Linked DNA regions of Schizosaccharomyces pombe. The protein of the gene in region 1 interacts with the protein of each later gene in a biochemical or structural test. Each region holds a gene or a part of one and is shown on either strand. Other genes may lie near its edges. The genes, in order: alp4 and pkl1.

Region 1 (5,790 bases):
AGCAAGTTATTAGGGATGCCAAGAGGATCTTCACCGAGTTCACCAGAGGGATGAGCACCTCCGGGATTAAAATAGCGTAATAAAGCTGCATTAAGCGATTTGTTCACCTTGGTCTCATCCTCAATGATATTTTCAATGAAAAGCTTTGTGCGACCATATGGGCTTGTACCTTCACGAGGGCATGACTCTGGAATAGGAATGGTACCACCAGGTCTAGTAGGATCGCCATACACGGTAGCAGATGAAGAAAAGACGAAGTCACGTACATTATACTTCTTCATGCACTCTATTAAATTAATGGTACCGGAAATGTTATTTTTGTAATAACTCAAAGGAACCTGTACAGATTCACCAACTGCTTTGAGACCAGCAAAATGAATGACAGCAGATATGTTTTGATTTGCGAAGACCTTGTCCAAAGCTGGCTCATCAAGCAAATCCACCTGGTGGAATATGACTTTTTTCCCAGTGAGTTTTTCAATGCGGTGCACGGCTTCAACGCGAGAATTGCATAAATTATCGACAATTACAACATCATATCCTTTTTCTAACAAAACAACGCACTATTGCAGATTGTGGTTAGCAAAATATCTCAAAAAAGAGCTTTATAGAATATGGACGAAATTGTATAAAAGTAAAGAGCAGCAAGCTATATTCACAAAAGATGCGTGCTTAAAACATTTACATGTACATTACTAATCCTCTTCTGTATCTTCAAGCTCTCTACGTACCGTATGAGAACCTATATAACCAGCGCCGCCAGTAACCAACACAGTCCCTTCATGAACACCAGTCTATGAATCATAATTAGTATTTTCATACAAAAGAATGCTTTTGATTAATTAAAAAAGTTATTCATACCATTTTACACGTTATAATTTGATATTAAAGGGGTGGGCTCAAGACTGTAGCTATTATGCTCTTTCTTTGTTGGATATTCAGTTTCCTACATGCTCAAGGTATCAATGCAGGTCGTTACCTCCTGTAACCTGACATGATGTAAAACGAGCAAAAGCCACAATGAAGCTTAAGCTAAAAGTGAAAAGTGCTTGTATATCTCGCTAAACCATTTTATTGATATATCGCTAAAAAATTCCTAATCATAATATTATATAGTAACAAAGAGGTCGTCGGAATAAGTGTATAGCAGATGAATGCCTGTGATTAGGTGTATGGATTTTTCATGTTCATAAAGCATTGAGGTAGTAATTTAATGTATGTGCATTTACCAATAAATTTTTTTTTTGTATTTATTTTTTTAAAAGATGAACTCGAGATTTTACAACCAATATACACTTTGATAGATGTAATGTTTGTGATTTCACCACCAGCTTCATGCGACTACAAAATCCTTGCTTCCCTAGAAAAGCATTTTATCTGTAAATAAATCATTGATGCTTATATGTATTTTTGAAAAAATTTATTTTGTTAAAGAAATAACAAGTAAATGTATAATTAACATAAAACCGAGCTAAATTTATTGCTTTTATTATGCAAATATTACCTACTGGCTAGTAAATAAAGCGAAGTAGTCTGCATTAGAATAAAAAATTTAAACACAACAAAAAAAAAAAAAAAAAAAAAAAAAAAAAGATGAAGGGAATAAATCCCTCAAGCTTAGGATCTAAAATTTTTATCCATTCAAAATAAACTCTAGCATATAGAATTTGTCACTGTCTACTGCTATCCATATATACTCGAATGAGTATTTGGGGTCCTTTGAGTTTACGGTAGTCTTACAATAGAAAATGCTGCAGTCTTCTAGTTATGTATTTTTTGACTAATTTTTTTTATACTTTTTTGCATTTTTTAATGCTACACGGACCTGAGTTGGTTTGCTTTGAAATTGCGTTGATTGTTAGCTGGCGCATACTTACCAACCTACATCTTAAAACTGGCCTGCTGGTAAACAAGCATATCCGAATAATAATTACAAAGAGCACTAAATATTAAATAAATGTTCACACTTTTGTAGATTATATAAAAAAAGACTCTTTAAATGGTGAGATCGATTAGTTCGGTGCTTGCTAAAGAAGAAAGCGAGAATGGGAGTCCAATTCCAGCTCTCGAGGAAGGGAGCGTTTATCATGTCTCTTTGAAGAGTGAAGGTGTTTCTCCATTTTCTGATAGGATTCAATTAAATTATCTTTACGATGGGAAGACTTTTAGCGATCCTTCGAACTTAAATATCCATCAGCAGGAAGCATGTCTCATAAACGAACTCTTAAATGCATTTATGGGCATGGAGGGTGTATTTGTACATCTCCAAGACATGAAAGCATCCTCTGAGTTTGAAACCATTATTATGCCGCCATCGTTTTATATTCTTCCTGGATTTGATTTAGGTATAAAGGATATTGCTTCTGAGATGTTAGAGATGGGGTCTCATTATTTAAGTATCACAGCTTTTATAGAATCGAGAAGCCATTTTGAATACGGATTTGTTAACCACGCATTGTGCGCTGCTTTGCGAAAGTTTGTGATGGACTACGTGGTACTTATCATGCAGTGTGAAAATCAGAGCCGAATTGATCCAAATTTTTCTCTTCAAACTCTTCGCCTTTATACTCTTCCCACATCGCGTTCATTACGACAAGTGTATTTAATTCTACGTGACCTGCTTTTGTCTATGGAAAAGAATGCTTCCAGCAGCGATGATTTAGGTCTTAGTAACATCGACGATCTTTTAGAGCAACTTAATGAAGGAAATGACATTTCACATGTTGTTAATGCCACTAGGTCTAAGAAAAAGGTTTGTAAAGGTGGGCAAGTCATTTCTTTTTTGACCGAAAGTCTTACGAAATATGCGGGTGATCCTGTGGCACGAAAAATCCTAACCTATTTATTGCGCGAAGCTTCACGCCCTTATACAAAAATGTTGAATGAGTGGATCCATCTCGGGCTCGTAAATGACCCATATGATGAATTTATGATAAAAATACACAAAGGAATCACATCTATGCAACTTGATGAAGACTACACAGATGAATATTGGGAAAAACGATACGTGATTCGAGAGGATCAAGTTCCTCCACAATTGCTTGATTTACAAAACAAGGTACTCTTTGCAGGCAAGTATTTGAACGTCGTTTTAGAGTGTAGGAAGGGAGTTAATAACCTGGCTTCGTTAAATGCAAAAGACGATACTCAAAACCAGTTGCTCTGGCCTTCAACCTTCGATGATGATAACTTTACTTTAAATATCATGAATGCCTATGTTTATGCAAATGAATCTCTCTTGCAATTACTCCAGTCTTCACAGTCTCTTTACGCTCATCTGTACTCGCTCAAACATTATTTTTTCCTTGATCAATCTGACTTTTTTACAACATTTCTTGACAATGCTCAACACGAGCTACGAAAACCTGCAAAGTATATATCTATCACGAAGTTGCAGTCGCAATTAGATTTAGCCCTTCGTCAGCCTGGTACGATAACTGCGACTGATCCACATAAAGAATACGTGACTGTAGAAGTGAATCAAACATCATTAATAGACTGGCTCATGCATATTGTAAGTATCAGTGGTTTGGAAGAAGGAACATCATCTCAGGGAAACGAAGTTTGGAATGAATCAATCACGAAGCAAGCGGATGTGGGCAATGAAACTCGAAATTTTGAGAGTGAACACAATCGGAGCACACAGGGGACTTCAAAAGTTGGTAGCGATAAAGATATTAATGGATTTGAAACGATGCAACTATGCTATAAAGTTCCATTTCCCCTTTCACTTATTTTATCCCGCAAAGCTATTATTCGATATCAACTTTTGTTCAGATATTTTCTTTTACTTCGTCACGTTGAAATGCAACTTGAGAATAGTTGGGTGCAGCACAGCAAGAATAGTGCTTGGCGTCTCAATTCCTCCAATGCGAAAATCGAACAATGGAAAAGGAACAGCTGGTTATTAAGGACACGAATGCTTAGTTTTGTTCAAAAAATAATCTACTATACTACAAGTGAGGTGATTGAAACACATTGGGGGAAATTTATGGGAGAACTTGAGAACGCCCGAACTGTGGATAATTTAATGCAGGAGCATATCGATTTTTTGGATACGTGTCTAAAAGAATGCATGCTTACTAACTCGCGATTACTTAAAGTACAATCTAAATTACTTAATACTTGTGCTATGTTTGCCTCTTATACTTCCACGTTTACCCGATCCTTATATTTGCTTGAGAATTCCGAAGAAAGCTTTGATGAAGGAAGAATGGATAAGATGGAAGAAATTTTACGCCGGTACGAAGACAGTTTTAGTCGTCATTTAAAATCCTTAGTGAATGCTTGTAACTACTTTGCAAGTACTGAGACGGCGGCTCTTTTAAGTTTAGTAATGAAATTGACGGGATAACTAAGAAGAGACAAGATAAAACAAGGCAAGGTAGAAAAACTACAAATGGAACAACGTTACTATTGTTTTATTGAGATATGAAGAAACATCTGACAAACAGCAATGGAAATTGGGAGAAAAACTTTTATGGATATTTATATAGTCGGTTTTTGGATAACCTTATCTTTGACATCTTGTTGCTTGTACTCGTTAATAAAGAAATGACTTGGAGTGAGGATCTTGCGGAATGGCCAATTATCTTCATAAACAAGCATTGCTTATCCGCAGTATACATTGGTCCATTTTCAGTAGTTTGGACTTTTTTTTGGCCAGTTGTCACACTAAAAGCGTACTGCACTATTCGGTTAAAAATTGACAAAAAGACGACTGCCATTGGCCATGAATTTAAGAATGATTATGGAGAAAGGCATGGCGAGCGTTTAATATGCCAACACTTGTGTTATATAAAAAATAATCGATTTTTTAAAATGTCTGAAACAGGGTTTGCTGATAATGCCTGAGGAATGGTAACTTGGATTTTTGATCGCTAATTTTTTATTAGCTATGTCGCTAAATTTAAGGCAAGTCGGCAGTATGCCGCGTGATTGAGGAAGAACGAAGAGAGAGGCTAAGCATTTGTTCCTAGTCTAAAGAGCTATCGATTGATTTTGAAGTGATACAATGTATGCTAACGTTTGTACCATAGACAGCTATAGTAATGAACTTTGTTATGTGAAGAAGTACAGTTGCTACGACAGTAATGATGATGATGTATGTATATAAAAACCAAACCAAGGTTTAATTTAGGTGGTTATAGTATTGTATACGCAAAACTATTCATTTGTGTGCACTCGTAATGAATTTCTAGTAATTGTATTTTGCAGTTAAAAGTTTAATGGATGCGTAAACAAAGGAACAGGTAAGCTAGTAAAGCGCATACAAAAATTGTAATATCGAAGGAAAACGTCAATTTAGATTAGTGTAGGATGGTTATTACGAAAGGATAGAGTTACTATGAAAAGTGAGTACAGATTGTATGATTAAGTATGGGGGCGATAGCTGGGTGTGAGGCAAAGGAATCATATGACTTTAGAATTATCGCATCAAGGAGTAAGAAAAACGAAAACTTATCTCACAGTGGATTGCCCAAAATTATCAATCCCCCACCATGTAAGAGGAAACAAGAGAAACAGAGAGAGGGAGAAAGAAATAATTAGAAACTAGCAAATATACTTTACAGATTACAAATGGACACGATAAGTAAGTTAAGATGAAATAAAGGGGAAGATAACAAGGAACGGAATATAAAAGAGCATTTCGAACCGAATGAAACATTTTAAGCCGAATGTATTGAAATCGAAATATTTGAATTGAGAGATTTTTATTTTATCTGACTAATGATGAGAAAGGATAGAAGAGAACAAATAGAATAGAAATAGAACTAAAGATAAAAAATA
Region 2 (5,695 bases), on another chromosome or scaffold:
AGCTAAAGAAGATCTAAGCTTACAAACTACTATGGTATTTCTATTTATTTTTAAAGAACAATGATATCTGAAGCTTTATCTCCATTCAAAATATTTCCTTTATATCTTTGAATATTAATAAGACATTTTTGTATTCATTAAAACGGTTTCATTATTTACGAATTGTTAATTCCAGAAGGATGCAGTTGAGAAGTGAACTAAAACAATATTTTTCATATCCTTTATTCAAAAAAAAGGTTTGCAATTCACTAATTTATATACTGAACCAAGTAGTTTTGTTGTATCAAAACAGTGAGTCTTTACTCAAAATTTCAGCAACACCTTCATTCACTCATTCATAAATCGATTTCCTAGTGTAGCTTACATTTCTCTGTTTAAATTAATTCGGTTTTATTTATTTCTCGTTTTTATCCAATATAGTCATAAAATCAATCATATCACACAATTAAAATATATTTTGTTCATAATATAGAATTTCAACGAACTTCGCTATTTCAGCTGACTTTCAAGGTAAGTAGAATGTCTCTTTACCTACTATCCTTTTACGTCTTTTTACACAGGAATAGAAATGGAGGAATTAGCTAAAAAATATCAGAACCTACAAACAGGTAAATCAAAACCTTCTGCATCGAATTAAATAATTAACGAAATTCCCAAGAACTAAGCACTTATGTCGAAAGTTTAAAAAAGTTGGAAACCCAATTACAAGAAAACACTACTGTCCTCAATGTACGTTAAGGCCACAAAAATTACTATTTTCCCTATTTTCTCCATTTATATTAGAATTGTTTTGTTAATGCGAATTAGGAATTGGAAAAAGTGGCTCCTGACTCAAATATATATAAGCAAATCGGTCCTACCCTTGTAAAGCAAAGTCATGAGGAAGCAAAGACCAACGTTAAAACAAGATTGGATTTCATTAATAAAGAAATGTATGTTTGTTGAAATTTGAAAAAGAAGAATTTCCTTGAGGTTAAAATCGCTCTCTAAAAATGCGAGTTGTACTTCTTCATTTGTATTATCGAATTGCGTATGTCATTTTATTAATTCATAATTATAGTGCACGCCTCGAAAATCAAACAAAAATCTCACAAGAAGAATTCAGCAAAGTTAAAGGTGCCATCATTCAAGCACAAGCAGCAGCTGCTCCACCAAACCCAGCATCTTAAATGCTTTGGTAAACATTTTTTACTCTAAAATAAGCTTAACGTTTATAATGTTTAATAGAACCTACTTTTGTATCATTGACTTTTGTTGCAAATCGCAGACTATTTAATGTATCCATGAATTGCGACTTTAAAGGAGACACATTAACAAACATCAGGGTTTTGGCACCTTTTCCAAGTGAATATTTTAACAAATAAGTTAGCTAATGTCTGGTTAGTACAAAAATGCTTTCAATATAGACTTTACACACTGCTGCAAAGCAAATAAGTAGCCACTTTGACAGTTAAAGAACGTGTTTCGTAAAGAACTTTTCATTCTAATACTCACCTTTGAATTTCGGTATGGTATGTGAGACTTTTCCTTCGTGGTACTATTTGAGGCATTTCCAAGTGCATGGATAACATCGCCAAGACAGCTGAGACTTTTATTAATAGCTTGCGTTTCTCGTAGTCTATCCCCAACTGCCTGACTGTAACTTAACCGCTCAGAACCTGCCAAATCAACTAGATTTAGCGTACCTTTACATATTTGTTTGGTTCTAGAATTTTCACCATCTATATACAGCATGAAAACAGTGTGTGATCTTGAAGACCGTTCATTTGCTTTTGTCGCTGCTATAAATCGATTTTCTCCTGCTCGATTTAGCATCTTGTAAACAGTATCTTCTTCATTAAAATCAATTATTGAAACGTTATCCACTGTTGTTCGTCTTTCCTTTTCATCATGATGAATATCGTGCTTAGGATTTTTCAACATTTCCGCTTTGTTTAATAGATCATAAATCGTTTCATTGTAAATTTCCAAAAACTGACCTCTCAATTTATACACCCACCCTTTCTCCCTCAAGGTTGATAGATAATTAAATATATGCTTAATTGACATCGCTATCATACCGTCTTGTGACGACATTGTGTACGTCTTACCCGATCCTGTTTGTCCATATGCAAATATACTAACATTATAACCATCAATAGCGCTTTGAATTAACTGTGATATTTCCTCAAAAACGGACGAGTTATCGCTTTCAGGAGCAAAGACTCGATCAAAGGAAAATTCATAATTACGATCATAAGTATGCCCGAGTGATGATTCAACATTAGGCCCTTTAAGAATAAGTTTTTGTGGCTCTAGTGCGTCTTTATCTGGAAATTGTAAAACATCAGCAATGCAATATTCGGATTCTTCACTTGGGAGTAGTGGTCTAACCCTACAAAAAACTCGAATATTTCCCTTTAGTTCTTGAATGTCGTTATGCAGCTTTCGTCTGATTATTTCTTCTGCTAACAGTTTATTATACATATCTTCATTTCTCCGTTCCAGCTGTTGGATTCGAGCTTGTAGTTCCAATGCGTTCTGGCCATTATTTCTTTCTTTATCTTGAATACTTGCAACATATTTAGAAAGTTCTTCAAGTTTTTCAGATGTAGAGTGGTGTTTATGCTCTTCCTTTAACAGTTTATTTCGAAGCATGTCAATTTCAGCTAACTTGTCTTCTAATTCTATACGCAGAGAGGAGATTTTTTCTTCATATTCTTTTTCCGAGTATGATTTTTCCGATTCATATTCTTTTACTGCCATTTCCAACTCAGATATTCTCCTTTTAAGCTTTTTAACCGTTAAATCATTCTCATATTCAATGTGGGATATTCGATCATTTTCTTCTTGTTGTTTCATTTCTAATAAGTCCAGAATTTTTTCTTTAAAACGCAAAATTTTCTCAGTACAAGAACCTTGTATCAGCACTAGAGCTCTCCGAAGTGATTCACAAATATTGGCATATTCATGTTTATATGACTTTACTTCGTTCTCAACAAAATCCCCAAAGGATTTTCGTTCACCATTTAGATTACAAACTAGAGAATGTGTTTTCTTTTCATGATAAAGTGCAAGTTCTTTGTGTTCTCGACGTAGCTTTTGGTAGCTTGCATTCGCAGCTTCTAACCTTTCCTTGGCTTCCTTCAACTGGATATTCGATATCGATAATTCAGAGGAAAGATTTTCTTTTGTTTCTAAAACTTTAAAATAGTTAGTAATCAAATAAAGTCAGCATAAAGACATGTATTCTTACTATCTTGCTTGGCCTTTTCTGCTGCCTCTCTGTATGATTGAAGTTGTAACGAATATTCATGATCCTTTTCAGCGTAAACCTGTTCTTGTACCTGAAGATGTGATCTAAGGTTCAAGTATGCAGACTCAATATCATCGGTTTCGTCTTTCGATAATAAACGATGTTCGCCATTAGATAGCATATGCAACCTTTCTAACTGTATAATATTTTTTGGTTTGCTTTTTAAATCTTTTATTCTCTTTAATGTATTAGAAGAAGCCATAGCTTGATCACTCTCGTAGGCTAACGTTGATTCGCATATTGTTTTATGAGATTCAATGAGATCTTTTAATTGAGGCAGCCAACTCTCTTTAAATTTGGAAACAGATTCTTCGTAATTAGATTCATGAGTAGAAGCAATTGGCGCTGTGACTACAGCGGCCTTGTCTCGATTGCTGTCCCTCTTCTTGCCATTAATGTCGCTTTGTAAAACGTGATTTTTTGATACGAAATTTTCGTATTTCAAATCATGTACTGCATCCTCTTGATTTGTTTTAATAATTTTTTTTGGTCGATATATTAAGTCCTCAGAATCTGTGTTTAAAGCATCTTCCTGTCGTTTATACCCTGTGTTTATGGAAATGTCCTTTGTATTCTTTCGCATTAATAAGATAAGTTACTCAGAAGTACCTCTTACCTCAATTACCATCTATAAGTTAAAAAGAGCGTTTTATAGAGTAATTCTTCCCAATACTATAAACACGAATTTATCAGCTCGACAAAACAGATTTTGATTAGCAGATGCTTTAAGAAACGTAAAACTATTTTACGTGGGTTAAATATGAGTGTTAAATTGTTAAGCAAATTCCAATGCTACGCATCATTATATGTCTCAAGCCTCTCGTGTATATCCATCTATGTTATTAATCAATGGTGTATAGAATACAATTGATTCCATTAACAAATAGTACTTAAGTAATATTATTTATATTATGTAATTCCACATTCCCTGATTGATTTTTGGAATATCTCAAACAAATTCAGTGTATCCTTACGTGTCTTTAAGTGAATTACAAAGTCCGCGGAAATGTGTAACACTACCTAAAATTTCGGTGAGCTTATATTACGATTTGCCATGTAGCGGTAGGTTGTACGTTTAACTAACAATTGTTACTTTTATTACTTTAAAGAAGTCTAATAGTGTCCAGTCAGCGATCTAGCTAACGACTAAACTAAAGGAGCGAGGTTCAGTTGTAGCTTTATTTAAAATGTCTCGATTAATTTATATCAATTGGAATATATTTAGATAGATGGAATTTTATCCGTAACTATGAATAAATAGATCTTAACTACTATTCTAGCAGGCGATATTTAGTGATACGAAACGATGTATATTATAGCGTAGTGTAGAATTGCTGACACCCAAAAACCTTTAATGTATTATGGTGTTTTTTATAATATCCATCGCTATAACTCTTAAATCAGTAGCCTGAAACTTAGCTTTGACCAATGTCTACGATCTTAAATTCAACTTAATAGACAAAATAAATGAAGATATGGAATAATTTGTTTTGTATATAATGAGTATAGAGTTTGTCGGATGGTTAAATACATATTACGTTGGCATTGATCAGAGTTCATATGAAGCTAGTAAGCTTCCAGGTATTCGAAATGTAAAAGGTGGAATTCATCTTTTCACTTGGTCTCCAACATACCCTGCTGGATTAATTTCTGGAGTTTTTGCTATGGTCCATGAAGATATGAAATATAGTATCGACTTTGATTCGAAATCTGAAACAGCTTCTTTGCAGAAGCTTGATGTATTATATGACGAAAACTTTTATCCCTTTGAATCAACAAAGGATTGGGACTTGTTGACGAAGTTCATTACAGTTCAAGATCTTCAAAGAATTTTTGCTACTGAAGGTGAATTTTTCTACTTAGACACTTCAACGTATGTCAACGCTGATCTTGTGTCACAAGATCCGGAATTCTCAAAACCCTCTCGAGACGATAAACTATTAAATTTCGCTGAATTCAATTTACGACGAAGCTGGTCGCCGTCTGCCACTGGACCTGAACGGTCTAAGCAAGCAATTGATAAATCGTTTTTGTTTCAAAGACTCGTCCAAAGCGTGTGGAATGACAATCCCATCTCTGCATTAGCGGAATTATCAATTTCCTTTCTGAGCTACTCTATTCTCTCCCACTATGGTGCTTTGGAGCATTGGAAGAATATGTTGAGTTTGCTATTGCAGTCTTATGAATTGGCGGAAACTGAACCAGAGTTTTACGCTTCCTTTTTGGAGCTTTTCAAACTTCAGCTTAGCTCACTAAGTGAATCCGACTTAGAAACGTCTGCCATTTTTGAGAAAGGCGTTTTACTATCTTGCCTTGATAGTCTAAGTGAAAGGAAAGTGGATGGTAGCTTTGGTTCTCTAGTAAACGAAGCGATAGAAAATCTCCTAAAAACTATTTCTG

Evidence for each region.
Region 2: the proteins of alp4 (region 1) and pkl1 interact in a test that uses a peptide from one of them, tested with the Schizosaccharomyces pombe proteins (one study listed by BioGRID).

What each region holds. Positions count from the first base shown.
Region 1 is NC_003423.3:2,522,062-2,527,851, forward strand, and holds alp4 (gamma tubulin complex GCP2 subunit Alp4), read left to right. Parts: upstream 1-1,999; coding exon 2,000-4,354; 3' UTR 4,355-5,073; downstream 5,074-5,790. Other genes in the region: UDP-glucose 4-epimerase Uge1, read right to left, coding at 1-563, 732-794, 862-864. UniProt on the Schizosaccharomyces pombe protein: Component of the gamma tubule complex that is required for the regulation of both interphase microtubules and mitotic bipolar spindles.
Region 2 is NC_003424.3:3,437,161-3,442,855, reverse strand, and holds pkl1 (kinesin-14 family minus-end directed microtubule motor Pkl1), read right to left. Parts: upstream 3,967-5,695; 5' UTR 3,924-3,966; coding exon 3,912-3,923; intron 3,874-3,911; exon of another isoform or gene 3,870-3,873; coding exon 3,236-3,869; intron 3,183-3,235; coding exon 1,495-3,182; intron 1,370-1,494; coding exon 1,205-1,369; 3' UTR 1,170-1,204; coding exon of another isoform or gene 1,061-1,169; 3' UTR 933-1,060; coding exon of another isoform or gene 808-932; 3' UTR 739-807; downstream 1-738. Other genes in the region: pfd6 (prefoldin subunit 6), read left to right, coding at 569-608, 659-729, 808-932, 1,061-1,169; U5 snRNP-associated protein Aar2, read left to right, coding at 4,795-5,695.